Struthio camelus: one gene and its partners. The protein of the gene in region 2 purifies or fractionates together with the protein of the main gene of each other region. This does not show direct contact. Links are inferred from orthologs where the notes say so. Each region holds a gene or a part of one and is shown on either strand. Other genes may lie near its edges.

Region 1 (6,959 bases), on a different chromosome or scaffold from region 2:
GGGAAGAACCGCAGGGGAACGCTGTTGCCAGAGAAAGTCTCCCGAGGCAGTTCCTCAGCTCCACCACGTTGCCACGTGCCTCCCCAGACCCAAGCAGTTAGCTTTCAGTGCAGGAGCGGAGAAGCAGCTAATCATGAATCAGAGGCCAACAACCAAAAAAGCCAAACGAACGTGCTAGTACAAAGGACAAGGCAAAAGCACGGTCAGAGACCAGGCTGAAGGTCGGGGAGGCCAAACAAAGAAGCAGAACCTAAGATACATAAGTTAACCTTGGCAAAGCCCAGATCAGCAAGCACAGCCTCCGCAACAGCAAGCAGGCTCCCGAGTTACAATCACATAAAGCAAGGACAGGGCAAAGAAAGAGCCCAAACTCAAGAACAAGAGGACAAGAGGCCGGTCTTAGCTGCTTGGGAGACTGATAGGGGCCAGGTGGCTGACTGCAGATATCCACAGAGCCTTGACCTTGAATCAGCATTTTGCAAAAATGTTGAGAAAGAGTACAGGGCATTTGTGAGGGTGAGATAGGCCCCTGAAAGGAGTGCCTGATGCAACAGAAAGCTCACCTTTTTGCTGGGATACTTTTAACCTAATCTAGTTTGCTGATGTAATTCACAGATGCTTATGTTGCTCTAAGGCTGTGGAAGAGGGTCTGCAAACTGCAGTGCCACTTTATATTGACTTAAGTTATGTAGGACTCTTCAAGTCTCAGTGTCAAGCAGAGGGAGAAAAATACTCCAATTACAAAGAAAGTCTCTTAAATTTAGTAACTCTAAAAATAGCAGTTCTTCAAGTAACTTGAATGGATCTCTGGGGATGGCAGGTATGCACAAACTGAGGGTTTAGAAGTGATGAAGAGACAATATATATTGGAGTGTATTCAGGCAATTTATAAGCATTTTAGTAGGCTGCTTGTGATTTGTTCTTCGTGCTATAGAGCTACATTCAGCTGTCTGAGATTTGCAAAATCTCACTGATGATTATTTAGAAATCATTCGGCACAACACAGTGCTGAGACCATTTTAATGTCCATCCAAGCTAAAAATGCTGGCTTCAACTTAGATGTTAACAGCAATAAATCTTGCATAAATGCTGAAAATAGCGTAACTGCTAATTTAAGGATCACACTATTTTCATCATCATTGTAGAAGGCATTTCCGAGACTTGGCATAAAATCCCAGTTCCATTGAAATTTAGAGGGATTTCTATGAACATGGCCAGGATTTTAGCTTTGAAGTTTGTTTTACTTTAAGCGGCCTGTACCACGCATAACTGGACTTCTGAGAGTTCTGAGATCAAACCTAGCACCAGCCGTATCTATTTCAAAAAGGAAGGGAAGACAACTGCCACAATTGTCAGTCTGTCTAACAGACACGTTTCACACTTACTGCATGAAGCTTATACAAATGCCTTTTAGTCAAAGCAGGGTCATTTTCCAGTTGCATGGCCTAAAGCAATGCCAGAATGTCAGGTTTGGGTTAAAATGAAGCTGTGGTGTTGATTATCTGCATGAGATCTATCTAACTACCAATAACTAGGCCATTGTAACTTTTTACAGCTCAAAAACCAGACAATAGCTATGCAGGAGATTTAGTGTTTAACATAAAAACCATCTCTTAAAAGTAGGAAAATATTTATCAGAAAAATGGAAACATCAAAGTAGATATGGCTTGCTCCACTAATGACCTGAGACAAATGAGGAAGCTTAACCTGTGATCTGGGAAGTAAAGAGGAAAAAAGGAAACATTCAAAGAGGCCTTAAGATGATGTTACTATTTATTATAATGATAATACTCTTTTTGATGATATATATAGACCTTGACTGACAGAATTAACAAACTAAGAGTCTTTGCAGCATTAAGTATTGCTGTGTCTCTGGAAACATATACATACATTAAATACATCACTATATAGACAGAGGTGCACTCATTATATTCAAAGAAAGGGTCATGTCTTTCTTTGTGGATTCCTAACTAAAAGAGGAAGGGGGGAAAAACAATTCTTAATCTCTTTTGCATATTGTTAATATAGCCCTTCTAAAAAAGCCATATTTTAAAGCCTCCCTACTTTGATCAACTGTCACTCAAATCCTTCACAAAATGTTGACTTTCCAAGGAAAAAAAAAATCAAATAGCATTAGGGTGGTATATTCATCATGGATGTATCTTAATGTAGACGTTTTAAATATACTGTAACTAAGTGTTCTTGTTCAGAGAAAAATGAAAAATTACCTTCTGAAGCCACCAAACACAGAAGGTTGAGACGATAATAGCAGCTTTTGAATTCACTTAGACTACTTATTTCTCAATACCTGAAGAGGCAAATAACATTTTTATAATGTGTATCTCATACACTAATTCAGCATTGCTAGGTGTTTTTAAACAGTTACTGGGTAAGCCAAGATAAAATGTCACCACCCCTGCTGAGATAAATTATGAAGGGCCTAGACTGTGATATCTGCACATATTAAAACATGCAATAATGCAAAGTGAGGTTTTTTACTTGGTAGTCTCTGTGAAATACTACTAGACCCCTTAGAAAATGTACTCACATGAGTAGCAACTGCAGGGATTGGTATGAGAAACTGTACTAAGCTGGACAAAGCTGAAATGTAACTGTTTAATTATAAAATCAGTCACATTACAATAGTTAATAAACCAAAAAACAGAGATCTCTCTAGAGCTAATTGTTTGTTCCTCATTGCCCTTTGTCATGAAATTTAACAAGCGAGCACATATATTTTATGAGTCATTTCCATGACATATGTTATTTACAAAGGCCCATCATTCAATGAGTACGTTTCCTTTTACAAGTATGGGCTGCTCAATTACCAAGGCTGCAATATAGTGTCATAAAAATTTCAAGTCATACCGAGATGTTGGGTGTAACTAGATGATGTCAATCAGTCTACCTTTTTCTTGAAAACACGCAAAGAACAGTATCTTTCCCACTTCATTCAGGCCAAAACTAAGACTTTAGGATCACTAATCACTTAAGTTCGTTGTTGAGGACAATTACACGCTTTCGGGATCTTTAACCCGGCATACAGGACGGTGCTGCAAAAGAACACATAGGGCCCCAGTCCCAGGACCACTAACGTGCGTTTTCTTTTTACCGTGTGCTTTCTTCCATTCAGATGTGAGTCTTTAATTTCTTCACGTGTCCCTGTGACATGTTATTACTGCAAGTACCCCTCGGATAAACGTACCTTCAGAGAGCAGATCTAAAGCGCGCCTCCAGCGCGGGTGCTCCTTCGCGGCCTACGCTGCTGCGGACGCTGACGGCGGGCCCGTGCCCTGACGGGCGGCGACATCTCGCTCGCATGAGCGAGAGCTCCCCACGTTCATCTACGTTTTTCTACAGGATGGCGAATTTACTGTGACAACCCTGCTTATTTTTCTACACTTGTTTTTGCCCTTCGGGCTGGGAAGCAAGGTAGGAAAACAAATTACACTTCAATTTTGTTGTTATTGTGGGAGAAAGACGGTGAGAACGAGGGCTTCAACACCAAGGCGTGCGAGCTAAGCGTAGGGAATAAAGACACATAGTCCAGCTAATGCCCTAAACGGGATTCCCGGCTGAACCAGCATTAAACCAGCCTTCTCTGCCGCGCCGCGCTCCTCGCCCTCTTTACCCCGATGTCACCCTAGGGACATCGCAAGGGGCAGTCCTTCCCCGGTAAAGCTCCGGGGGGGCCTCGGCACGGCCCCGGCGCTGATGAAGGGCGGGCGCGGCGCCGGCCGTACCTCAGGGCGCGCCCCTCCCCCCGCGGCTTCCGGCCCGCCACCGCCGCCCGCCCCGCCGCTGTCTCAACCGCCGCTCCCGGTGGCCCGCCCGGCCACGTGACAGCACCGCCAGGGGAGCGACAGCGCCCTCAGCCAATAGCGACGCGCCTCCTCGCCTCGCCCCGCCCCGCCGCGCCAGGCGGCCGCGGCGAAGTTTCCTCCTGACAGGAGCGGAGAGGGAGGGGGGCGGGTGGTGAAGCGCGGCGGCTCGGCGGGGCCGGGAAGGGTCCCCGTCATGGAGGAGGCCGAGCCGGGCGAGCGCACCCCCTTGCTGGGGGGCGGCGGGGAGCGCGGGCGGGCGGCGGCGGCGGGCAGCGCCTTCCAGGGGCGGCGGTTGGCCTGCGCCGCCGTGCTGCTGGCCGAGCTGCTGGAGCGAGTGGCCTTCTACGGCATCACCTCCAACCTGGTGCTGTTCCTCAACGGGCCTCCCTACGGCTGGGAGGGGGCGCAGGCCAGCCAGGCCTTGCTGCTCTTCATGGGCATCACCTACTTGGTGTCGCCCTTCGGAGGCTGGCTGGCCGACGCGCTGCTGGGCAAGTTCGGCACCATCCTGCTCAGCATGGCGCTCTACCTGCTGGGCATGCTGGCCTTCCCGGTCATCGCTGCACCGCACACCCGCCAGGGCCTCTGCGGGGACATCCCGCTGTCCCCCGTGGAGAACTGCTCCTCTCCGGCAGCCAACGCCACCCCGGTGCCCTGCTACCAGGTGGGAGCCACCCGCTACTGTGCCGCCGCCACCTTCGTGGGACTGGTCCTCGTAGGGCTGGGCGTCGGGTCGGTCAAGGCCAACATCACCCCTTTCGGGGCCGACCAGGTCAAGTATCGTCCGGCAGCTGCTGCTGTCGTTGGTGGGGGTAGACCTGGGCCAGGTGACGCGTGTCGGCCAAGCTAATGACTTGCCTGGGTTGGGTGGGCAGCGCGCCGACAGCTCTGCAGGCTGTGAGGGGCTCAGATGGCTCAGCCTGGTCCCCTGTGTAACGCAGGCCAGTGAGTTGTTCTTTGCTAGCTGTAACCTTGGCATCTGGGTGAAGTCTGATCACTCACGACCCCTGGTTTCCTTGTAACCCTGCCTTAGGTGTGGTGCCTGATTTGGCTAAGGCTTCCACAGTCTCGAGGAGCAGGGTTGAATATTCCATAGCTGCTAAGTGAATTGTTAAATATCCTCTGTTGTGGAGTTTATACCCAGCTAACTGGACCTTAGAGCTGATTGGGTGAAAGATCCGATATACACTTTAGTTTTGACAGGGATGGAATGAGCCTTCTAGGGCTGTGATCAGCAGCCTTTACCATCCTTCTATAATAAACATTATAGATGTTATCTAAGGATAGATAACAAATACCATTTGAGGCTTAAGGTATGCTCTGTATACTGCACTGCGCCCTTGAGTGATGTTTTTGTGCAGGCTAATGTTGCTCCAGATGACAGGCAAGAAGGTGCTCTCAACATGGTAAATGTATTACCTGGGCTGTTCTCATAAGGACACGTCTTGTAAAACGACCTTATTCAGATCCAGTTCAGTGAGATCATTCATTGGTTCATCACTGCAGAACTAAGTGTTTTTACAGAAAGTATTTGAGAGAGCTCGTAATTGAGTATCACCTGGTATGCGCTGTTGCATGTGTTTTCTACAATCCTATGCATGGTAAGACAGCATGGTGACTGGGGGTGTTGAATCAGAGTATAATTTTTGCTTTACAAATTGACAATTTCAAAGGCTTAGATACTGAGAAGCTTTCCTAACCAAACAGTTCTTGGTGACAAAGCAGGGAAATTACCTCTAATCCAGTTACATGTCTATTTACTGGCCCATTGAGTTCTGGTTAGTGCAGCTATCAGAAATGCCATGAAATTCTTTGTGAGAGGTAGGTTCTACCACAATGTCCATGCCAAATGTACCTCTATTCTCTGTTGTGCAGTTTACATTTTTCATTCTTTGGCATTTCACATATTATAAATTCTGGAGTTCTGGGTGAAAGGCAGTTCATAAATGTAAAACATTATTATAGCCTAGGATTGTATGTCCCCAAGTGTATTGGTTCTGTTTAAGCCAGCGTGAGCCCATCAAGCGAAATAGCTTTAGTATAACTTTATCTTGTAAGGTGTTTTTCAAAATAGACTGCTTATCCCCAGAACACTTTATGAACATTAAATGTAAGAGATAAATAGTGGCAGAAGGAGAGTAAAAGAAGAACCATTGCCAATGGAAGTGTAAGCTGTTGTAGCTAGCGGTGTTTTTTGTTGTTTTTTTTTTTAGGCTTTCCCCCAGGATTTCATTGAAAACAATTTTTCGCTAGGTTGTAGATAATTCACAGTGATTTATGTGGAGTGAAGCAGAAGAAATTTTCCTTTCTTGTTCTTAATAATTAGGAGTGCTCTGCTGAGGACTGGATTTTTCCCCTTGATTTTCTGGCTTTTCTATTGTTAAATACATTACAGCCTACCATTTACCTTCTGCATTTTTGAGCTCTCTTGGGTGGCTTCTCCCTGCATAGGAATGTAGCACCACTGCTGGGTAGGTGGATACATATTGCTGAGAATAAAGTCTGTCTTCCAGAGTCACATTCTTGGGAGGCCAGCATTCAATACAAACGTGTTTTAGTTGGATTTGTGCTGATAAGCTTTGTCCTCTTTCCCTTAAATACCAAACAAAGGGAAATACTATGAATTGTTTATCATGCACTTTAGCTGACATGAACCAGCTTTCCGATGTTGTTAATTGCATTTCATTGCAACTCTCTTTAAAAAAAAAAAAAAAAATTAACATTTTCAATTTTAACACTAACCTGTATTTGGGCAGAGAACCCACATTTAATGATGTTTTTTGTATTTAGAAGAAAATAATCATTTTAAATGTGGAAAATTGGAAACGTACTTCCAATATTCACTTTTTTCCTGAAGTTAAAAAGATGTAATTTGTTAATTTCTGTTAAATAGACGTATTTAGAAGTACTGTTACGAGTGGCTTAGTATCGAATAGCTTTTGCCAGCCAGTTTAGCAAAAACTAGCTGCTGCAAGCTAGTTATAAACTAGCTTTACTTAATTATGTTCATAAGTAAGAGTTGTTTTTCTGAAAGCTGCAAATTGATCCAACATGCTGATCTAAATCTGAACCTGATGGTTCTCAGAATAGTGTTTATAAGCATGTGATATACATATAAATATATATATATATATA
Region 2 (7,026 bases):
AGGCATCTTCCTTCTAAGAGGGAGCAGATTCGTGTGGGAAAGCATCAAGGTCCTTATAGTTATTCCCCACCTCGTTACACAGCCCTGATGAAACAACTCTGCCAGCATGTGGTAGGGGTGCTGCTGGCACGTTAACAGCATGTTGGTGCCACCAGGACATAACTTGCAGGTGGATTTTCGAGTTACCGCTCTCAGAAGACACACATCTAAGGGGCCCAGCTCCACCAGCCATGTGGGATCTCCAAGTCCCAGCTTTGGGGCTGACGCAACTTTCTGCCCAGACGTCTGCAGGGATAAAGAGCTACAACGCCTAACATGCGGCAGTGATGGTGTCGAGTCAAATGAGGGACTGGAGTGGCTGAAGGCTTCTGTAATAAACTGCTTTTACAAGCAGGTAGAGAAACTGCATTTTTCAGACAGGAGAAAGGGTGTGTCTGTCCGTCTGTCATGTACCGAACAAATTGGCCCTTTTGGGTGTGGTTAAGGGGTTTGAGGGGGTTTTTTTTGCGGTTACCTTGAAGGGTTTTCCAGCTTCAAAGGGAAACCTAGGTGCCGTTCTCTCCTCCTTTCCCCAGTTGTTCTGCAACATTGAATTACAGACGATGACTTTTCTGTTATCCTCGTTGAAGCGGGGATTAAAGTGGAAGGCAATATCGTGCCCTCGCTTGAAATCCAGGGAAAATCTGCAACGACAGCAAGGGTTTAGCCGCTTTTGCCGCGAAAGCCCCGGCCTCTGTTACAGGGCCTGCCGAAAGCAGCGCTGCGCCCGCAGGGCTGCTGCTGGGTGCTCGGCGCCCCGCTACCTGTTTGGTTTTGCGTTCGTCGTCCCCGTGACGGTTATGAGCATCCGCGGCATGAGGCCCGCCTGCAGCGGCAGCTCGAACGGGACTTTCTGGGAAAGAGCAGGGATTTGGCGTTGGCGGGAAGGCACGTTAACATACAGCCAAAGCCCAGGGCTCGGGCGCGGGCTGGGGGGGGGGTCTCGAGGCACAGCAGGAGGCTGTGGCTTCACAACATCCCGGCCCATCGCTCGCGTGTCCCCGCAGAGCCCCCCCTCCCCGCGCCACCAGGGTGACGTGGTGCTTGGCCGCCCGCAGGCCCCCGTGAGCCCACGGAGGTGTTCGGCTCCCGCTCGGGGCCCCTCGACCCCTGCGGCCAAGCACGGCTGAAACCCGACGGAGCCGTTACCATCGATGCGGCCCGTCCCTCTTGCGGAGGAGACGGCCCGAAGCCAGGGCCGCTGGGCGGCTGCGCCGGGGCAGGACAGGGCCCTGGTCCCGCTGGCGCTCCGGGGAACGCTCCGGGTGCTCCAGGGAACGCTCCAGGTGCTCCAGGATACGGTCCCGGTCCTGCTGGTGCTCCAGGATACGGCCACGGTGCCCCCGGATAAGCTCCCGGTGCTGCCGGCGGCCCCGGGTAGGTCCCCGGCGGGCCCGGATACGCCGGGAAGGCGCCGGGGGCCGGCGGCGGGTTGCCCCAGGCGGCCGCGGGCCAACCTTGGCCCGGGGGAGCGCTGGGGTTCGGGCTGTTCCCGCTGGGCAAGGCGTCAGAAAGCTGCACGGGCAGAGGAGGAGGGTTAGGAAGGAGACGGGAGGGAGCGAGAGGAGAGCCGGGAGCGAAAGCTGGGCGGCCGGCGGACGCGCTCCTAGCTGCCGGCGGCGGGGAGAGCGCCGTCTCAAGCGGCTCTGGGTTCGTTTGGGAGCGGGACGCTCCGGCTCACGAGTCCCTGCGGGTCCCCCGACCGCCGCGGGCTTTGGGGCAGGGTCTTGCCGTCTTTCGCGGCCGGCATCGCACGCCAAACGCGGCCACGCAAGCGTCCGTGAGCAGCTAACGCGATTTGAGGTTTCCAGGAAGTGGCTTAGCGGTTAGCGTGGGTCTAACTAGGTCGGGGAGTTAGGCAGGGTAGCAAAGACTAGTTCTCGTTTTTGCAATAGTCCCTCCACTTCCGTGCAACGCAACAGCGACGGGCCCGGCTTTTTTTTTTTTTTTCCTTAAAAAAATCAGTACTTACGGAGAAACCGTCTGCCATCTTCCTAGAATAAAAAGACGAAGGGGCGGTCAGTCGTTTTTATCAGCTGCCACCCGAGAAAAAAACCCAGCGCTGCAAAGCCGCAGATCCCAGCGCCGCGGTCTGAAGCGAGGGGCACGCGACCGGCCTGAGAAAGCCGGGGGCGACCAGCGCCAGCAGCGGCCGCGGGACACGAGCTGGCCTCGTCTCGGCCGGCATGCGCCGAAGTAGAAAGGGCACCGGGCTGAACGCCACCACCACCACCGGCACTGCTACCACTGCTGCCACCACCGCCACCACCACCACCGGCACTGCTACCACCACCGCCACCACCACCACCAGCACCGGCACTGCTACCACTGCTGCGACCACCACCACCACCACCACCACCGGCACTGCTACCACTGCTGCCACCACCGCCACCACCACCACCAGCACTGCTACCACTGCCACCACCACCGCCACCACCACCACCGGCACTGCTACCACTGCTGCCACCACCGCCACCACCACCACCAGCACTGCTACCACTGCTACCACCACCGCCACCACCACCACCAGCACTGCTACCACTGCCACCACCACCGCCACCACCACCACCGGCACTGCTACCATCACCACCACCACCACCACCACCACCACCAGCACTGCTACCACTGCCACCACCAGCACCACCACCACCACCGCCGCACTCAGCGCAGCAGCCAGGGGCCGCGCAGCCTCGGCCGGGGCCGCGCAACGAGCATCGTTTCCTCCCGACCCGCGGCCCGGGCACGGGGGGGACCCGGCCCCGGGGGGGCAGCGGGGCCGCTCCGACGAGCTGCGGCCGGAGCCGGCACCCGCCGCGACAGGGCGGCTGGAGGCGGCGCTGCCACCGCCTGCGGGTCACCCCAGACCCCCGGCCCGGCCCGGCGCCGCTCACCTGCGGGCTGCGCTCCCGGCGGCCCCGCTCCGGCTGCGCCTCCGCTCCGGCTCCGCTCCCGGCGGCGGCGGCGGCGGCTCCTGTCCCCGCCCGCAGCGGGGCGGCCCCGGCGGGTCCCGGCCCGGCGCGGGGGGAGCGTCGGCCCCGGCGGCGCCTCCCAGCGCCCGCTCCGCCCCCGGCCCGGCCCGGCCCCGGCTGCCCGACAGCTCGGTACTAACCCACCGCCCAACCCCGGTACTAACCCACCTCCTCACCCCGGTACTAACCCACCGCCCCACCCCGGTACTAACCCACCTCCTCACCCCGGTACTAACCCACCGCCTCACCCCGGTACTAACCCACCTCCTCACCCCGGTACTAACCCACCGCCTCACCCCGGTACTAACCCACCGCCCCACCCCGGTACTAACCCACCTCCTAACCCTGGTACTAACCCACCGCCTCACCCCGGTACTAACCCACCGCCCCACCCCGGTACTAACCCACCTCCTAACCCCGGTACTAACCCACCGCCTCACCCCGGTACTAACCCACCTCCTAACCCCGGTACTAACCCCCCGCCCAACCCCGGTACTAACCCACCGCCCCACCCCGGTACTAACCCACCGCCTCACCCCGGTACTAACCCACCGCCCTACCCCGGTACTAACCCACCGCCTCACCCCGGTACTAACCCACCTCCTCACCCCGGTACTAACCCACCGCCCCACCCCGGTACTAACCCACCGCCTCACCCCGGTACTAACCCACCGCCCAACCCCGGTACTAACCCACCGCCTCACCCCGGTACTAACCCACCTCCCCACCCCGGTACTAACCCACCGCCTCACCCCGGTACTAACCCACCTCCCCACCCCGGTACTAACCCACCGCCCAGCTCGGTACTAACCCACCTCCCCACCCCGGTACTAACCCACCGCCCAACCCCGGTACTAACCCACCTCCTCACCCCGGTACTAACCCACCGCCCCACCCCGGTACTAACCCACCGCCCAACCCCGGTACTAACCCACCGCCTCACCCCGGTACTAACCCACCTCCTCACCCCGGTACTAACCCACCGCCCAACCCCGGTACTAACCCACCGCCTCACCCCGGTACTAACCCACCGCCCCACCCCGGTACTAACCCATCTCCTCACCCCGGTACTAACCCACCTCCTAACCCCGGTACTAACCCACCGCCCCACCCCGGTACTAACCCACCGCCCAACCCCGGTACTAACCCACCGCCTCACCCCGGTACTAACCCACCTCCTCACCCCGGTACTAACCCACCGCCCAGCTCGGTACTAACCCACCGCCTCACCCCGGTACTAACCCACCTCCTCACCCCGGTACTAACCCACCGCCCAGCTCGGTACTAACCCACCTCCTCACCCCAGTACTAACCCACCGCCCCACCCCGGTACTAACCCACCGCCTCACCCCGGTACTAACCCACCTCCCCACCCCGGTACTAACCCACCTCCTCACCCCGGTACTAACCCACCGCTCCACCCCGGTACTAACCCACCGCCCCACCCCGGTACTAACCCACCGCCCAACCCCGGTACTAACCCACCGCGCTAACCCCGGTACTAACCCACCGCCCAACCCCGGTACTAACCCACCGCCCAACCCCGGTACTAACCCACCGCCTAACCCCGGTACTAACCCACCGCCCAACCCCGGTACTAACCCACCGCCCTAACCCCGGTACTAACCCACCGCCCAACCCCGGTACTAACCCACCTCCCCACCCCGGTACTAACCCACCGCCCTAACCCCGGTACTAACCCACCGCCCAACCCCGGTACTAACCCACCTCCTAACCCCGGTACTAACCCACCGCCCAACCCCGGTACTAACCCACCACCTCACCCCGGTACTAACCCACCGCCCTAACCCCGGTACTAACCCACCGCCTCACCCCGGTACTAACCCACCTCCTCACCCCGGTACTAACCCACCGCCCCACCCCGGTACTAACCCACCTCCTCACCCCGGTACTAACCCACCGCCCTAACCCCGGTACTAACCCACCTCCTCACCCCGGTACTAACCCACCGCCCAACCCCGGTACTAACCCACCGCCCCACCCCGGTACTAACCCACCGCCCAACCCCGGTACTAACCCACCGCTCCACCCCGGTACTAACCCACCGCCCAACCCCGGTACTAACCCACCGCCTCAACCCGGTACTAACCCACCGCCCAACCCCGGTACTAACCCACCGCCTCACCCCGGTACTAACCCACCGCCCAACCCCGGTACTAACCCACCGCCTCACCCCGGTACTAACCCCCCGCCCAACCCCGGTACTAACCCACCGCCCAACCCCGGTACTAACCCACCGCCTAACCCCGGTACTAACCCACCGCCCCACCCCGGTACTAACCCACCGCCTCACCCCGGTACTAACCCACCACCCAACCCCGGTACTAACCCACCGCCCCACCCCGGTACTAACCCACCGCCTCACCCCGGTACTAACCCACCGCCCCACCCCGGTACTAACCCAACTCCTCACCCCGGTACTAACCCACCGCCTCACCCCGGTACTAACCCACCGCCCCACCCCGGTACTAACCCACCTCCTCACCCCGGTACTAACCCACCTCCTCACCCCAGTACTAACCCACCGCCCCACCCCGGTACTAACCCACCGCCCTAACCCCGGTACTAACCCATCTCCTAACCCCGGTACTAACCCACCGCCTCACCCCGGTACTAACCCACCGCCCCACCCCGGTACTAACCCACCTCCTCACCCCGGTACTAACCCACCGCCTAACCCCGGTACTAACCCACCGCCCAACCCCGGTACTAACCCACCGCCTAACCCCGGTACTAACCCACCTCCTCACCCCGGTACTAACCCACCTCCTCACCCCGGTACTAACCCACCGCCCTAACCCCGGTACTAACCCACCTCCTCACCCCGGTACTAACCCACCTCCCCACCCCGGTACTAACCCACCGCCCAACCCCGGTACTAACCCACCGCCTCAGCCCGGTACTAACCCACCGCCCTAACCCCGGTACTAACCCACCGCCCTAACCCCGGTACTAACCCACCTCCCCACCCCGGTACTAACCCACCGCCCAACCCCGGTACTAACCCACCTCCTCACCCCGGTACTAACCCACCGCCTAACCCCGGTACTAACCCACCGCCTCACCCCGGTACTAACCCACCGCCCCACCCCGGTACTAACCCACCGCCTCACCCCGGTACTAACCCACCTCCCCACCCCGGTACTAACCCACCGCCTAACCCCGGTAGTAACCCACCGCCTCACCCCGGTACTAACCCACCGCCCAACCCCGGTAGTAACCCACCTCCTCACCCCGGTACTAACCCACCGCCCTAACCCCGGTAGTAACCCACCTCCTCATCCCGGTACTAACCCACCGCCCAACCCCGGTACTAACCCACCGCCTAACCCCGGTACTAACCCACCGCCTCACCCCGGTACTAACCCACCGACCAACCCCAGTACTAACCCACCTCCCCACCCCGGTACTAACCCACCGCCTCACCCCGGTACTAACCCACCGCCTCACCCCGGTACTAACCCACCGCCCCACCCCGGTACTAACCCACCGCCCAACCCCGGTACTAACCCACCGCCCCACCCCGGTACTAACCCACCGCCCTAACCCCGGTACTAACCCACCTCCTCACCCCGGTACTAACCCACCGCCCCACCCCGGTACTAACCCACCGCCTCACCCCGGTACTAACCCACCGACCAACCCCAGTACTAACCCACCTCCCCACCCCGGTACTAACCCACCGCCTCACCCCGGTACTAACCCACCGCCCCACCCCGGTACTAACCCACCGCCCAACCCCGGTACTAACCCACCGCCCCACCCCGGTACTAACCCACCGCCCTAACCCCGGTACTAACCCACCTCCTCACCCCGGTACTAACCCACCGCCCAACCCCGGTACTAACCCACCGCCTAACCCCGGTACTAACCCACCTCCTCACCCCGGTACTAACCCACCTCCTCACCCCGGTACTAACCCACCGCCCAACCCCGGTACTAACCCACCGCCCAACCCTGGTACTAACCCACCTCCTCACCCCGGTACTAACCCACC
Region 3 (6,907 bases), on a different chromosome or scaffold from region 2:
GCTGGGGTCTGGGCAGGGGTTTCGTTAACCTGGATCCCCTCGTGAAGAGGCATTAATGGAAGTGCTGAGCGTGACCGCTCGGCCGGCGGCCCCGCTCCCTTCTCGCTGCGAGCCTCGTGCCAGCTTTCTGCGGGAACGGCTGGGCGGCAAGGCCGTTCTCCCTCCCCGAAGCTCTTCCCTTTCGGCTCGTCGCCCCCAGCGCCCGGCACGGCCTCCCCAGCGGAAAGCGCTGATAAGGAGCCAGTTGTTTGCTCAAAGCCTGAGCAAACACTTCCCCACGGGTCGGCCACGGAGAAGCTGCCACCTGCTCCGTTCGCACAGGGCGCGAAGCGGAGACGGGGGCCGCGGCGGTGGAGGGGGGACAGCGTCCCCGCGCACCTGCCTGCCAGGGTCCCCGCTGGCTGCTGCTCGCCCAGGGAGCTTTTTCTCCCCAAGGAAAGCCAAGCCGAGCCCCATCGGTCCCTCAACTCCGTCCTTAAATCCCCAGAGGCAAATTTTCCCGCGGTCCCCAAATTCAGCAGGGCTCCTCTGCCCCGGCCGGTGTTTCGGGGCACGCGGCCGAGCCACTCACCCAGCAGATGCTTCATGACGGCCTGGTTGTGCTCCCAGAGGTTGTTGAAGGTGCCCCAGCGCGAGTGGCCGTCGGGCAGCGGGTTGGCCTTGATCCAGCCGCCGCAGGCGTAGCCAAAGAAATCCTCGCAGGGGTTCACCGCCCGGTCCAGCGAGTTGAGGATGGAGCTGGTGACGGAGATGCACGCCTCTGACAGGCACACGGCGGGCGGCCCTGGAGGGCGGCACGGCGGGTCAAGCTTGGCGCCAAACCCCGGGCCAGCGGCCCCTTTTGCCCCCGCTGTCCGCCACGAGACACGCGCCGACTTACGGGCTCGGTACTGGAAGATGAGGCCCAGCAGGCAGGCAGCCAGCACGGTGGCCAGCACGGCCACCAGCGCGGCCAGCTGCTTCTCCAGGCGCGTGCGCTCGGCCCAGCAGCCCGGGCTGCTCCGCGAGCCGCGGAAGTTCACCTGCAAGGCGGGGGGAAAAAAACCAAAAAAAGCCAAACAAACAAAAAAAATCAACAGGAGAAGCAGCGGCGTTTTCCCACGGGGCCGCAGGGAAAACCCACCGGCAGCAGGGGACCGTGGGAAAAACCCACCAGCGCGCTCCCGCCCTCCGAGCCGCCCTCCGCTTTACGGCCCGTGGGCTGAATCGAGGCCACGTGGAGCGAGCCGGCCCGCGCCGGGTCGGGAACGAGGCCGCGACTCCAAATCCCACCAGGAAGGGCGGCACAATGGGAGGAAACGCTGGCAGGACGCGGAGCCCGGTGAGTCGCAGCCGCCCGGGCAGAAAAAAAAGTCGTCAGCGGCAAAAGCCCGGAGCTTGGTCCTCTGCACCCATCGCCGGTGTGCACCGCTTTACCCAAAAGTGGCGGCATCAATGTCGTTTCGCGGAGGCCGAGCCGCTTAAAGAGCTGGGAAAGCTCAGCGAGCCGGCTCAGCTCACCGATCCGGCAGGAAAAAAAAAAAGTCAGAGCGCTCTCAGCGCGCGTCCCGGCGCAAGGACGAGCCCTGGCGCGTTCGGCTGCCCTTCGAGCCCCCAGCGTGGGAAGCAAAGGTGCAGCAGAGCAACGCGATCTTTGCTTTCGAGGCAGGAAAAGCCATTCCTGAGTGGGGAGGCTCCTTGCACCAGTCGCAGCGCTCAGCACCGCTCCCTCGCCCCACCTGTGGCCGGGCAGGCCCCAAATATTTCCGTGCGAGCCTGAATTTCTGAAGAGCCGGCAGCGCTGCCACCGCCTCTCTGGGCATCGGCTGTTCCCTGCCACCCACGGCCCCTTTCAAAGCGGCTCTCCCACCGCGCGGGGAGGAACGCGCCCGGATTAGCCTAATCCGACTTTTATGTGAGGACAAAGCTCCCCGTCCAGCGCGATAATTGCTCGGCAAAAGCCTCGCAGCTCCCGGACCCCGAGCCAGGCTCCGCTGGCCAGCGGGATGAACCAGCCCCGGCCGGGCCGCGACAGGGTTTCGCCTGGGTGCCGAGCGGGTCGGAGGATCAGCCGCGTCTCTCGGCAGGCAGCTCCCGCGCTTCCTTTCCCTTCTGCTCCCTGGCGCCGCAATCTCCGCGGCTCACTCTCCCTGCCTCGGGGGCCCGCAAAGGACTCACATTGCCAGGGCGGCCCGGTGTTTGCCATCCCCTCGCCAGATGGCTGTTGTTCCCTCACCTTTTTGGGGGGGCTTTTGCAACCCTGGAGGGCGAGGAGCAAAGGGCAGCTGGCGGGGACCTGCCCACGCCATCCCAACCGGGACTTTGCCCCGGGGACGGCGGGAAGCTGGCGCTGCCCAGCCCAGCAAAACAAGCACCGAAAAATCCCCCCACCCTGCCCGGCCCCTACCTGGAAGCCATTGGGGTAGGCATCGCCGTCGGCCTCCAAGGGGTCCTCGTCGTCCAGCGTCGCCCGCTTGTAGGTCGACATCTGCAAGGTGAAAAGCGGAGCGGAGGCCCTCAGCGTCCCTGCTGCTGGCATCGGGGCGCCCCGGCCATGCCGGGCCCAGCGAGGAGGAGGAGGAGGAGGAAGAGGAAGAGGAAGGCGACACGTGCCCTGCCAGGCTATAAACACTCCCCCCTCCGGGGGACTGCCTCCCCGATGCAAAGCAGCTGCACAATTAGGCGCCGGAGGGACTTCAGGAGGCCAAAGAGTGAGCGAAGCCCAACGCACCGCCAGGTTTCGCAAGCTCTCCACAGCCGGAGATAAACTTTCCCTTTCCCCGGGGGAAGGCGAGCGCTGCTTTTGCTGCCCCCCCAGCCCCCACCATGGCGCCGGAGAAAGCAGCAGGCAGCCGCCAAGCGCGTTTCCTCCCGAGGCTACCGCCTTGCTCGCGCCCTCGGGCCTGACCACGGCCCCGGGCGCCTCCGTGATTCGGTTTGGTTGCCCAGCGCTGCCGCAAAGCGCGTTCCCAGAGGGGAAACTGAGGCAGCGCACGGAGCGGGACGGCACCAGAGCAACCCAGCTCTGCAGGGGAGGATGCTCCCGAGCGGCTCGCTTGGCTCCGCTCCTCAGTTTCCCCCACTGCCCAACCGGCCGGGCCAGACTGGCGGGGGAGACTGTGCAAAGACTGCGCTGGCAGCAGGGGGACACACTTACCCGGCCAGGGAGTTTTCCCACCAGCACCGCGCAGAAGAACCGGCGAGTGAAATGAAAGTGCCAGGGCTCAGCCGCAGGGGTGAACAACGGGCCCCAGAGGTGGGAACTTCCCCTCCGGCCGCCAACGCCTCCTTCCCACACACCGCCAACGCCGTTAACCTTTGCCAGCCGGCCTCCCTCGGCCAGCTGCAGGGCTGGGGTGTTTCTTCCCCCCCACCCCGATTTTTCGGAGCCGCGCTCCCGCGGGAACGCTCGTGGCCAGCCCCTCGCGCAGGCCCCCCCGCCGGCCTTGCCTAGAGCCAGTTTTTCCGATTGCACAATTAATAATTGAGCCCATCCTTTCCACCGCCCCGGCTAACGGGACACCGCCAGGGCCCTGGATTTAATTAGCCCCCGGCGCATAGCTCGGACCGGCACGGGCGCTTGCACAACCTACCAAAACAGCAACAACAACAAAAAAAAAAAAAACGGGGCCGAAAAAGCTGTTTGTGCAGATGGGCCGGGAGGTGAGCGCCGGGGCCCAAACTCGCGCCCGCGGCCCCCCTCGACGGGCCGACCGCGCCGGAAAGGAAAAAAAAAAAGGGGCAAAAGCTCCCACGGCAGGATTCTTATCACTAAAATCCGCTTCCCCCCCCCCGCCTCCATCCTCCCTCGGTTTTTCCTGCTGTTTTTGCGCCACATGCCGGGCTGAAATCTGCAGCTGCGGGCGTGAAATTCCTGCCCGCGGCTCCCGCGCATCCCCCCCCCCCCAACCCCGTCCCAGGCAAATTCCCGGAGTCGGGAGCCGCCAGCCAGCGCTCCAATTCGGTTTCCTGCGGAAACGCGCCTTGGGCGCTCCCTTTCTTTCGAAAACGCCGGGAAAAACCGGGCTTTCGCTGGCGGCCGGCCCGAGCACAACCCCAGAGCAGACGGCAGCGAAGCCACCCCGGCGCCGGAAGCGGGGCGACCGCGGGGCCAAGCGGCGGTGCCGCCGCAGGGTCCCCCCCGCCCGGCTCGGCGGCTGTAACCCAGCACCCGCGGGGCCCGGCATCGCGTGGGGACAGGAGGGGGACAAAAAAAAGAACGAAAAAAAAAAAAAAAAAGAAAGAAATCCCCCAAACCCTCCTTGGCGCCGGCCGGAGAGGAAGGAGGAAGTTAAAGACCAAGAAAATAAATAAATAAACAAACAACAGGCGTTTTTCCTTTTTGCCTTCCGCCGGCGCCCAAAACCGACGTGCCCGCCGTGGGCCGAAAGGAGCATCCGCGGGGGGCCTGGCCGCGGGGCACCCGTGGGCGCTCACGCCGCGGGAAACGGGGCGCTTCGGGCCGCAGCGGCGCCCCCAGACGGGCTCTTTTGCCCAAATCGCCCCTTTTTCCTTCAAAAAATTTTAACCCCCCCCCCCCCCCCCCAAGATTGGCTCTGGAGAAAGAGAAAAAACCGCCGCTCGGGCTCGGCGAGCGAGCGGCGCCTCTGCCCCTGGGCGCCCTGATTTTGGGGGGGGGGGGGTACCGGCGGGGCGGGGGGCCCCGGCGTCCGGGCGGCGCGGGTGGGGAGCGGCCGCTGCCGGCTCCCTCCCGGGCGCCATTTCGGATGCGGCGGCTCCGGGCGCCGTTTCGCAGCCGCTTTCCCCTCTCCGGCGCGGGAGAGAAAAAAAAAAAGAAAAAAAAAGAAGAAAAACCCGCGATTGGGGCCTTGAAGCGCCCCAAAATCGCTCGCACCTGCCCCGCGCAGCCCCCCGCGGCACCCAGCGCCAGGGCTTGAGGAGGCCGCCGGGGGGGGGGGGGGAGCTAGCGGGGGCGGCGTTGGGGTCGGGGACCCCGGCGCTGGCCCGGGTCGGGCCCCCAGGATTTGGGGGGATTTCGGCCACCTCGAGCGGAGCGGGAAAAAAACAAAAAAAAATCTCAGTTTTGCCAAAAAATAAATTAATAGGAGGGAGGGGGAGGAAAAGCGGCTAAAAGGCGCCCCCTCCCCAACCCCGAGCTGGGGGGGGGGTCGCGGGTGGGCACCCACTCACCATGGTCCCGGCTCCTCGGCGGCCGCCCGTGCCGCCGCCGCCGCCGCGGCCTAGGGAGCGAAGGATGCACCTGGGCCGGGAAAGCCAATGGCCCGGCGGAGGGCCGGGCTTCCGCGCTCGCCGCCTTTAACTCTTTCGGGAGGCCGAGGGGGGGCCCTCCGCGCACGGCCCCCCCCTCCCGCCGCATCCCCGCGGCCCGGCTTTCCCGCGCCCGGCCCCTTCCCACGCCGCGGGTATCGCCAAGCGGGCGGTTGGGCAAGCGTGCGAGGATGCAGGCGCGCAAGCGTGCACTTATGTGCGAGCGTGGGCGCCTAGGCGGGCATCCAAACGCACACTCGCACACGTATGTGCACATGCGAGCATGGGGTCGGGCAAGTATGCACGCACGCAAACATCCCAGCACGATTGTGCACGTATGCATGTGTGCGAGCATCCAAGCACATGACCGTGCAAGTCTGCACGCACGCAAGCACGCAACTGTGCACATATGCACACGTGCAAACATCTAAGCACACGATCGTGCAAGTATGCATGTGTGCGAGCACCCAAGCACGTGACTATGCGAGTCTGCACACATGCAAGCACACAACTGTGCACGTATGCAAACATCTGAGCACACAAGTGTGCAAGCATGCATGTGTGCAAGCATCCAAGCACATAACCATACAAGTCTGCACACACGCAAGCGCGCAAATGTGCACATACACATACTTGCAGACGTCCGAGCATGCGATTGTGCAAGTATGCATGTGTGCGAGCATCCAAGCACGAGGCCATGGAAGTATGCACTTGTGTGAGCATCCAAGCATGCAACTGCGGAAATAGGCACATGTGCAAGCACCCAAGCATGTTGCTGAGCAAGTATGTGCACATGCAAGCAGCTGAGCATGCAGTCATGCAAGTATGCACACCTGCAAGCATCCAAGCACACCACTGTGCAAGTATGCAAACATCAAAGCGCGTGATCGTGCAAGTATGCACTCATGGAGGCATTCATGCACATGACCATGCAATCATGCACTCGTGCAAGTATCTAAGCTTGCAAATGCACAAATAGGCACACGTGCAAGCATCCAGGCACATGACCATGCAAGTATGCACATGTGCAAGCATCCAAACATGCAACCATACACATATGCAATCCTGCAAGCATCTAAGCATGCAATTTGCACAGACATGCACATGTGCAAGCATCCAAGCACACAATTGCACAAGCATGCAGTCATGCAAGTATGCAAGCACATAACTGTATATGTATGCACATGTGCAAGCACCCAAGCATGTGACCATGCAAGTGCAACCATGCAGGCACCCAAGGATGTGTTTGTGCAAGTATGCACACACACAAGCACACAATAATGCAAATACACACACATGCAAGCACCCAATCATGCAAGTATGCACACATGCAAGCATCCAAAGCACACAGTTGTGCAAGTATGCACATACACACACATCCGGAGCTGCACATGTGCAAGCACACAGGCATGCGTCTGCCCCTGCTTCTGCCCCCTTCCAGCCGCTGCCTTGCCTGAACCCGGCCAGAGAGCTGAGATTTACCAGTCCCTTGAAAGGTTTTGGATTTTTTTTCCCACCTTTTTCTTGCCGGCTGCAGCTTTTTTTTTCCCCCCCCTCTCCTCCCGATCCTGACTGGCTTTGTAACAGCACAACCTCACAGCAAGGCCATCTCTGCTTTATGCAGATGAGCCGGGCTAACGAGCTTTTTAACAAGCTTTTAATTGCCACTTGCCAGGGGCACCTGGGGCAATTCCCAGCT
Region 4 (6,941 bases), on a different chromosome or scaffold from region 2:
TGCAGCCAACTTCTTTTATAACAGAGCAGGCACACAGGAATGCTGAAGCTGCTGCTGCTTTCATCCCACAAACCAATGTGACTACAAAATTTTGATTTTGTTCAATCTGCCTCAAAAATGCCAGTTCAGCAGTTGCACTGACTACATTGGCAAGGTCGAGTTGCGTCAGGTTGTCATAAGGCTTCCACTTCCACATGGTTTGACTGCATGCTAAGGTGCACAGCCTGACACTTTGCTTCAGGCATGTCTTAATGATCACTATAAATATGGAAAGCTACTGCAGCATCTCTACAGAAATGTCCTAGGTATGAGCCCTGGGGCAATGAGAACACTCTAGCTTTCAAGATGTTGGAGTGCCCTGTGACGTGCTAATCTAACTGCGTTCTTGGTGGCAGTGATAACAGACTGTAAGGAGCCATGTGATGGCAGATTGCAACGCCCCCGGGTCACTGAGGAGAGGCAAGTTTTCAACAAAGTAAATTTTAGAGCACTTCCACCTGACATGGTGCACAGGAGCCTGGGAAACACTTGTTTCCACCCAAGAAACAAAAAGCACAGTGTGGCTGGCTTGGGTATTGGTCATAGGATGAGACAGAAGTATTGGAAAGGTCAGGGAGGTCTAGCCGTTTGAGGGCAACCTTCAGATTGCAAAGGTATCATACTAAGCTATTTGTTATGGATAACACCACATCCTTTTTTGAGTCATTCTCAAGATAAATGTTCTTACTGCAGTCCTGATCCTCGGCTGTATTTATGGCTATATTATAATGTCTTTATCTGGTCAGTTTGTATTATAAACATTGCCCCCCCATGCTTATTACTTCAATCTTTCTATCACCCACAGATTTTACCAGAAAATCTAAATGGCTGAAGAACATATTAAAGTGTCAGAGCAAATCCTCATCTGCCTTGCTCCCTGTCTTGCCTTTTGATATCTTTCCGCCTCTGCTAACACTTGCGATCTGTCAGGAACCTGAAACATGTGCAAAGTACACGGAGTACACGGAGTTTCCAACCAAATTTCAATTGGTAGCAAATCAACGTCTTGGCTATATTCACGTGGGCTGTAACAACAGAAGAAATTCAATCATCTTTCCTCAGAACAAAATGAACTAGTATCGAGCCAATTAGCTCAACTTTCATGAGTCACTCTTTCCCCCTTTTTTAGGTATTGAAGCCTAGGTATTGATATGGGCAATCATTCAATCTTTTGGAATTTTCCCAACTTTTCAAGAGATCTAAAAAATTAGCATTCCTGACTCAGACAGGTCCTTGGCTTGGAGTCATTTTAAGACTCCTGTACATAAATTGTATAAGCCCTGATGAGTTGAAAAGTGTCTAATTTTAGTTAATGCATCACTTTCTCTTAAAAAGGTTTTTATTGTGTCAGTCACATAGACTATGAGCTGGATATATTAAACATTTTTCTTTCCTACCTTGCTATTTTTGAATTTACTTTTTTCCTGTGACAGTAACTGGTTTTTTTTTGTTTTGTTTGCCAATGATTTATTTCTAAAATCTCAATAATATTAAAGGCAGTAAGAGTTTTAAAGTTTTTTAATGGCTTAACAAAATTATTAATTTCCTTCAGCTGCTGTCTTGTTTTAAATGTATAACCTATTCATAATTAGCATTCATTTAATCCTTTTTCTATTCTTGGTATGTAGGCTAGTTTCATCATACTTTCACATCTCCTTTTCTGTTCTGTGTTCAGTTTTTTCTGAGCGCTCGGTAGAATACTCTCCCCAAACCGCATTTTTGTTAACAAAAGGAATGCCTTTTCAAGGTCCATCTGGATATGTCTGCTTGAATCCATGGTGTACCTGCTGCATTCCTACCTCACCGCAGAGAAAGACGGTGGTGGTCCAGAGCTCTGTGTTTTAAGTTAATGTGTCACCAATCTGAAGCTTTTATTTTTTAATCCTTTAAGAAAAACCTTAATGCCATGATTACAGCATTCTGTATTTTAGACACAGGTCTATACAATGTTCTAATCTTATTCTGCGTTTCTCTTATTTCTTATTCCTAGAAGGGTAACATCAGGCTACTCTAGTGTTAAAACTTGCATGTATCACAATCCTACTTATCTCATACTATTTGAAAGGAAATGAAAATAAATTGACCTAACAATTAAGGTACTTTTGCTGGTCTCAGGTCCCCATTGTGCAAAGACTTTTGTGAGGCTCAAAAATCAAAGCTCTCAGATGACAGGGGACGCACAACCCCTGCACGACCTTACCATCCCTGCTCCATTTTTCATCAAATGGCTCTCTGTGGTTATGGCAGAGGAAGCAGAAGGGACTTGTAAGAGAAACTGCAGCCTCTGCTCATGCAAACGTTGGTTCAAAGCGTCTCTTTCTCTGGCTCTGAGCTATTACATAAAAGTTGTATCAGGCTGAGTTCAAATTTAATGCAGCAATCCCAATTTCCCCACCACGACCTTTCATGCATGCACTGTGTCACACAGTTTTCACCTTCTTTATTGTAAATGAGTTTCTTTTGGTGGACTTCTCAAAGTACTTAACAAATGATCTGTTTAGATATTTAGCTATTTAGAATTTTCTTCTCTTCTCAGTGCTCAGCACGTAGTCCCATGTCTTATATATTGCACGGCGGCCAGTCTGTGTTGCAGAGAGGGAGTTATTATTTTCCAGATATGCTTTTTAATTACATCTACCGTTCTAATTTATCACACCTGGTTTCTCAGCACCATTAATTTTGATAATAGCCTGTACGACGAGGAAATGAGATTTAAAGTGAAAAAAGTGCAAAAACATCCCTGCCTCTGTAGTAACACCAGTAACGGATTAGAAATCTGCTATTACTAACAAAGTCACCCTCCCATTTGCTTTCTCGAGCCTAGAAAAAGGTGGGAGAGGATGAAGACACAGGTCCCCAGCACAGAAGCTCCTTTTCCGTGCAGCCACCGTTCCCATCACTGTGGTTGCAGGAAGGCTTGAATGAGCTCCTACTGGATACCAGGCTATTATCATGCCTCTCTCCTCCCCTTCCCTGGCTGGCCTGACCTGCCGTCTGCCAGCCCACCTCCAACGCCTGCCATCTCCCTATCACCTCTGGTGGCCACCTCCCTTCCTTGGAGGCCTCCGCTCCATGGGAGAGGCGCTAGCGTTGAGTAGACACCATCCACCCCACCGAGCATGGGACCCACAAACCCCTCAGAGTCTCCTCCCGAAAGGCAGGGATACAGAGGGCCATGTCCCAGCGGAGCGGGCACAGCCCTGCTCAGGGTAACCAAGAGCTACAGCTCGTCCCTGATGCCACATCGTTCATCCTGATTTTGGGATACGCTGCTGATCCCTGCTGTCTCTTGGGATCAGCTGCACGCCAGGCTCACGGCCACCTGCAACCCCTGGCTGCTGCACAGGAGAGCAGGTTTCGGGGATCCACCTTCCTCCCACGGTGGCCTCAAGGTGCCCTGAGGGCTTTCTCCTGCGCTCATCCCAAAGGCGACCTGCACAGCTCCTGCTGGGGCCGTCTGGATGCTGCTCCCCCCCTTCAGACCCGGAGGACCCAGGCCCCGAGCCGGGCTCTGCCTTCCTTTGGAAGACCCATTCTGCCCGCTGGGGTCCGAGCAGCACCAGCCGCCACTGCTGCTGCCGGGCACTCGCCAGGCGCCATTTCACCGCCGAGAGGAAACCCCTGTAGCGCCCGGGGGGGGGGGGGCCATGGCGGGCCGCGGGCAGCGCCGAGCACCACGGAGCGGGGCAGCGCACACCCACAGGCAGACGGAAACCTCCCGCCCAGCCGCCGCGGGTGTAAGCCCGAGCCAGGCGCGGCACGGCACGGCACGGCGCGGCGCCTCCCCCCAGCTTGCCGCCCGGGGTGGCCGGCGCGGTCCGGTCCGGTCCGATCCGGTCCGGTGCGCTGCGGTGCGGCCCGGCGCCTGGAGCCGCGCCGCCGGGGGGGCGGGGCGGGGCGCGGGGGAGGCGGCTCGGCGGCGGCGGCCGCCCCCCGCTGCGTGAGGAAATGGCCCTCACGTGAGGGAGGCGGCAGCGCCCGGCTCGCCGCGGAGGAGGCGGCAGCGGCGGCAGCTCCGCGGCAACCAGCCATGCCGACCAACTTCACTGTGGTGCCGGTGGAGGCGCAGGGCGAGGAGCGGGACCCGCCGGAGCGCGATGGGCGCCGGCAGCCGCTGAAGGCGACGGCGGAGGAGGAGGAGGAGGACGAGGAGAGGGAGCGCGGCGCCGGTGAGCGGGGGCGGGGAGGCGCCCGGCACCTGGGCGAGGGCTGCGCGGCGCAGCGGGGCCGGGCCCGGGGGGGGTCGCGCTGCCCTCGGCGGAGCGGGGCGGCTCCGCGCCCACCTGCGCAGGCGGGAGGCGGCGGCCGGGGCCGGGCTGGCCTGGCGTCGCCCCGGGGGCAGCATCGCGCCGGGGGGTGGCGGGCGGGCGGGCGCGTCCCGCGGCGGCCTGGAGGCTGCGCTGCCGCCCGGGCGGGCAGAGCTGTGATTCAGCGCCGCCGCTGTCCCGTCCCGTCCCCCCCCCCCCCCCCCCGGCCTGCCCGAAAGAGGCTCGTGCGGCCGGTACCGCTGCGCCTTGTGCAGCCTGCGCCAGGGAGGAGCACGCGTGAGGTGGTGTGGTCAGGGGTGCGGTTTCTGGGGGGCCTGGGACACGAGGAAACCCCCTTTTTGGGGGGGGGGGAAGAGTGGAACTCGCGTTTTCATAGTGGTTTATTTCTAATCGTTAAAACGGCAAGAATTCTTAGTTTTTCGTGTGGGTAAGTAAGGGTTTGTGCAGGCTGATGCTTGCAAAGTAAGTCTAACCCATCTACAGTTGTACAGCGCTGTTGCTTGAGAAGATGAACTTAAGTAGGACTCTCTTTTTTTTCCCTCCTCTCTTAATGTATCCCTAAAATAAGGAGTAGAGGGGAAAGCGCTGACTGGAGAAGGCCTCGACTTGAAAACAGGGTCTGCTCTGGGAGCTCAGGGTCTGCTAGCAGAGACGAAATGCCCTAGAGCCGTAGGGAGGCTTGGGAGAGGAGCCACGTACTTCACGTTGCCTCCGGTGTCATGTGGACATCTGTGGCACGCGGACCTGTCAGGCACAGAAGTTGTTAGATTCCTGCTGTACAGTCAACTAGTTTGCCTGGACGCCTTCCTCTGACAACTGTAATGAATTCTAAAATACCAGTACTGCTTCTAAAGTCCTCGTGGTTAAACCCATCTCACGACCTGCTGCTCAGGGGCAGTGCTTGCCTTTCTCTCTGCCCTCAGCTCTTGGGCAGAGGGTAGGAAGAAACACTCCTCCTTTCCATCCCCCCTCCTCAGCTCCCTTCCCTTCCTGGGTGCTTGACCCTAGTGCTTGTCAGATACCTCATGGAGCTGGTTCAACATGCTAAACCAGCAGAAAACTCGGCTCTTGCAGAGGAAAAACAGCCTTCCCCCGCTTTGGAGTTAGCGAGGTGAATGAGCACTGCAAGAAGCCTGAGATTGTCTCAAGGGTTGCCAGGGTTGTCTCGAGGTGGGCGGCTGGTCCGTGTGGCTGAACAGCAGTGGGAGTGCGACCTTTCCTGGTGGGTTCCCCCATAAGGTGTACAGCTCAGTAGGTAACTTTGTTCTTTTTGTTTAGGCTATCTAGAAATTTAACGGTTTTGATTGAATTGCCTGGCTTAAAAACAGAGTAATTGTTCTGGAATTACCCTGACTGCACTAGTGCGTTGTTAAATAACCCACCCACCCTGCTGTTTAGTCATTAGATCACCAGTCAAGTAGTTCCTGGTGACTTATTAGCAAGCTGTTGATCAGTTATTCCCTGCCCTTCTTACTGTACACAGATTCTCATCTGATACTCGTCTCGTTCCCAAGAATGGGGTAAGCCAGGATATTCTTGCTCCGTGTTGTTCGCTCCTTCATAAACATCTGAAATGCTAGCCTTGTATTTCCTAGTTGCGTGCTACTCCTGCACGTGTGACGGTGAGGAAAGCTTAGGTGAGTGACCAGTTGGCTGAACTAGAGCTCTGGTCTCAGCAGCATTGGTGAAGAGCAGAGGTGTAGGGTACAACTTAATGTTTGAACGCCTCAGTGTAGTTGACGGTGGGAGCCTGCTGTCTCGCATATATACAAGGTAACATGAGGAATTTATATCTGCCTGCCTCATTTAATATGCTTTCTAAAACACTAGAAGAGAAGGGTGGTCAGGAGATAGTAACTAGCAGACAAAGACTAATCTCGCTGCCTGCTGTAGTGTATGCTCAGCCAGCTTCTGCTTGGACATGGAACCAGTCTATATCTGGTCTGCGGTTCAAAAACTACTGCACAGAAATACTATATTATATTTTTGTATTCCCCTTCAGAAGACTGGAGAAACTATAAGGAAATGAACACTGAGACATGCAAACTGGGGATTTTAATTTTATCTCCATGTATTACGGGTATCTGTCTTTGTTCTGTTGGTGTGCTTCGTCAGTTGTGTCCGTAGAGCTTCCAGTACTGGCCAAAGTGTGCTGTAGAGGGATATGCATGGGGATATGAGCTGGCAAACCTGATACCGTTTCCACATGCTCTCCCAGGCTGCTACCATTTCTGCTCAGAAACAGAAGAGGCTTCTGAAGCTAGATCCTTCCCCATTTCTGTGAGTTCAGATCTGTAGATTAAATTCTAGACTTGTATTCTAAATACGCTGAGAAGATTTCTCTTCTACTCTCTTGTCGGTTCCAGGGAGGGTTGCGCATACAGTTTTGCACATACAGCCTCTGTGGCAGTAAGTCCTGCGGCTCAGTGGCAAGTCACCTTATTTATTTGCAGATTTACTTTTTTCTGAACCAGTCACCTGATCAGAGGCATCAAACTAAGCTAATTCTTGTCCGTCCCTCTCCAGATCACTTAAAACCCCTATTCTAGTCCCATCTCAACCCAGTCATCTTTTTCCAAACTGAAAACTTACTTAGTCATTCCTTATATGGAAACAGTTGCATACTTCTGGCTG

What was found.
Region 1: the proteins of LGALS3 (region 2) and SLC15A4 purify together in Homo sapiens (affinity purification with mass spectrometry; 3 studies listed by BioGRID and IntAct, counting the BioPlex papers as one, with this or other methods). This does not show direct contact. The link is inferred for Struthio camelus from reciprocal best matches to the Homo sapiens genes LGALS3 and SLC15A4.
Region 3: the proteins of LGALS3 (region 2) and ECE1 purify together in Homo sapiens (affinity purification with mass spectrometry; 3 studies listed by BioGRID and IntAct, counting the BioPlex papers as one, with this or other methods). This does not show direct contact. The link is inferred for Struthio camelus from reciprocal best matches to the Homo sapiens genes LGALS3 and ECE1.
Region 4: the proteins of LGALS3 (region 2) and SLC12A7 purify together in Homo sapiens (affinity purification with mass spectrometry; 3 studies listed by BioGRID and IntAct, counting the BioPlex papers as one, with this or other methods). This does not show direct contact. The link is inferred for Struthio camelus from reciprocal best matches to the Homo sapiens genes LGALS3 and SLC12A7.

The regions. Positions count from the first base shown.
Region 1 is NC_090958.1:14,967,543-14,974,501, forward strand, and holds the start of SLC15A4 (solute carrier family 15 member 4), read left to right. Parts: upstream 1-3,948; 5' UTR 3,949-4,017; coding exon 4,018-4,596; intron 4,597-6,959. UniProt on the Homo sapiens protein: Proton-coupled amino-acid transporter that mediates the transmembrane transport of L-histidine and some di- and tripeptides from inside the lysosome to the cytosol, and plays a key role in innate immune response.
Region 2 is NC_090946.1:79,452,727-79,459,752, forward strand, and holds the start of LGALS3 (galectin-3), read right to left. Parts: upstream 3,023-7,026; 5' UTR 2,931-3,022; intron 2,034-2,930; 5' UTR 2,030-2,033; coding exon 2,012-2,029; intron 1,555-2,011; coding exon 1,189-1,554; intron 893-1,188; coding exon 804-892; intron 684-803; coding exon 515-683; intron 1-514. UniProt on the Homo sapiens protein: Galactose-specific lectin which binds IgE. May mediate with the alpha-3, beta-1 integrin the stimulation by CSPG4 of endothelial cells migration.
Region 3 is NC_090962.1:8,911,900-8,918,806, reverse strand, and holds the start of ECE1 (endothelin-converting enzyme 1), read right to left. Parts: upstream 3,012-6,907; 5' UTR 2,519-3,011; coding exon 2,387-2,518; intron 1,023-2,386; coding exon 881-1,022; intron 785-880; coding exon 572-784; intron 1-571. UniProt on the Homo sapiens protein: Converts big endothelin-1 to endothelin-1.
Region 4 is NC_090943.1:78,880,125-78,887,065, reverse strand, and holds the start of SLC12A7 (solute carrier family 12 member 7), read left to right. Parts: upstream 1-3,939; 5' UTR 3,940-4,069; coding exon 4,070-4,208; intron 4,209-5,781; exon of another isoform or gene 5,782-5,827; intron 5,828-6,941. UniProt on the Homo sapiens protein: Mediates electroneutral potassium-chloride cotransport when activated by cell swelling. May mediate K(+) uptake into Deiters' cells in the cochlea and contribute to K(+) recycling in the inner ear.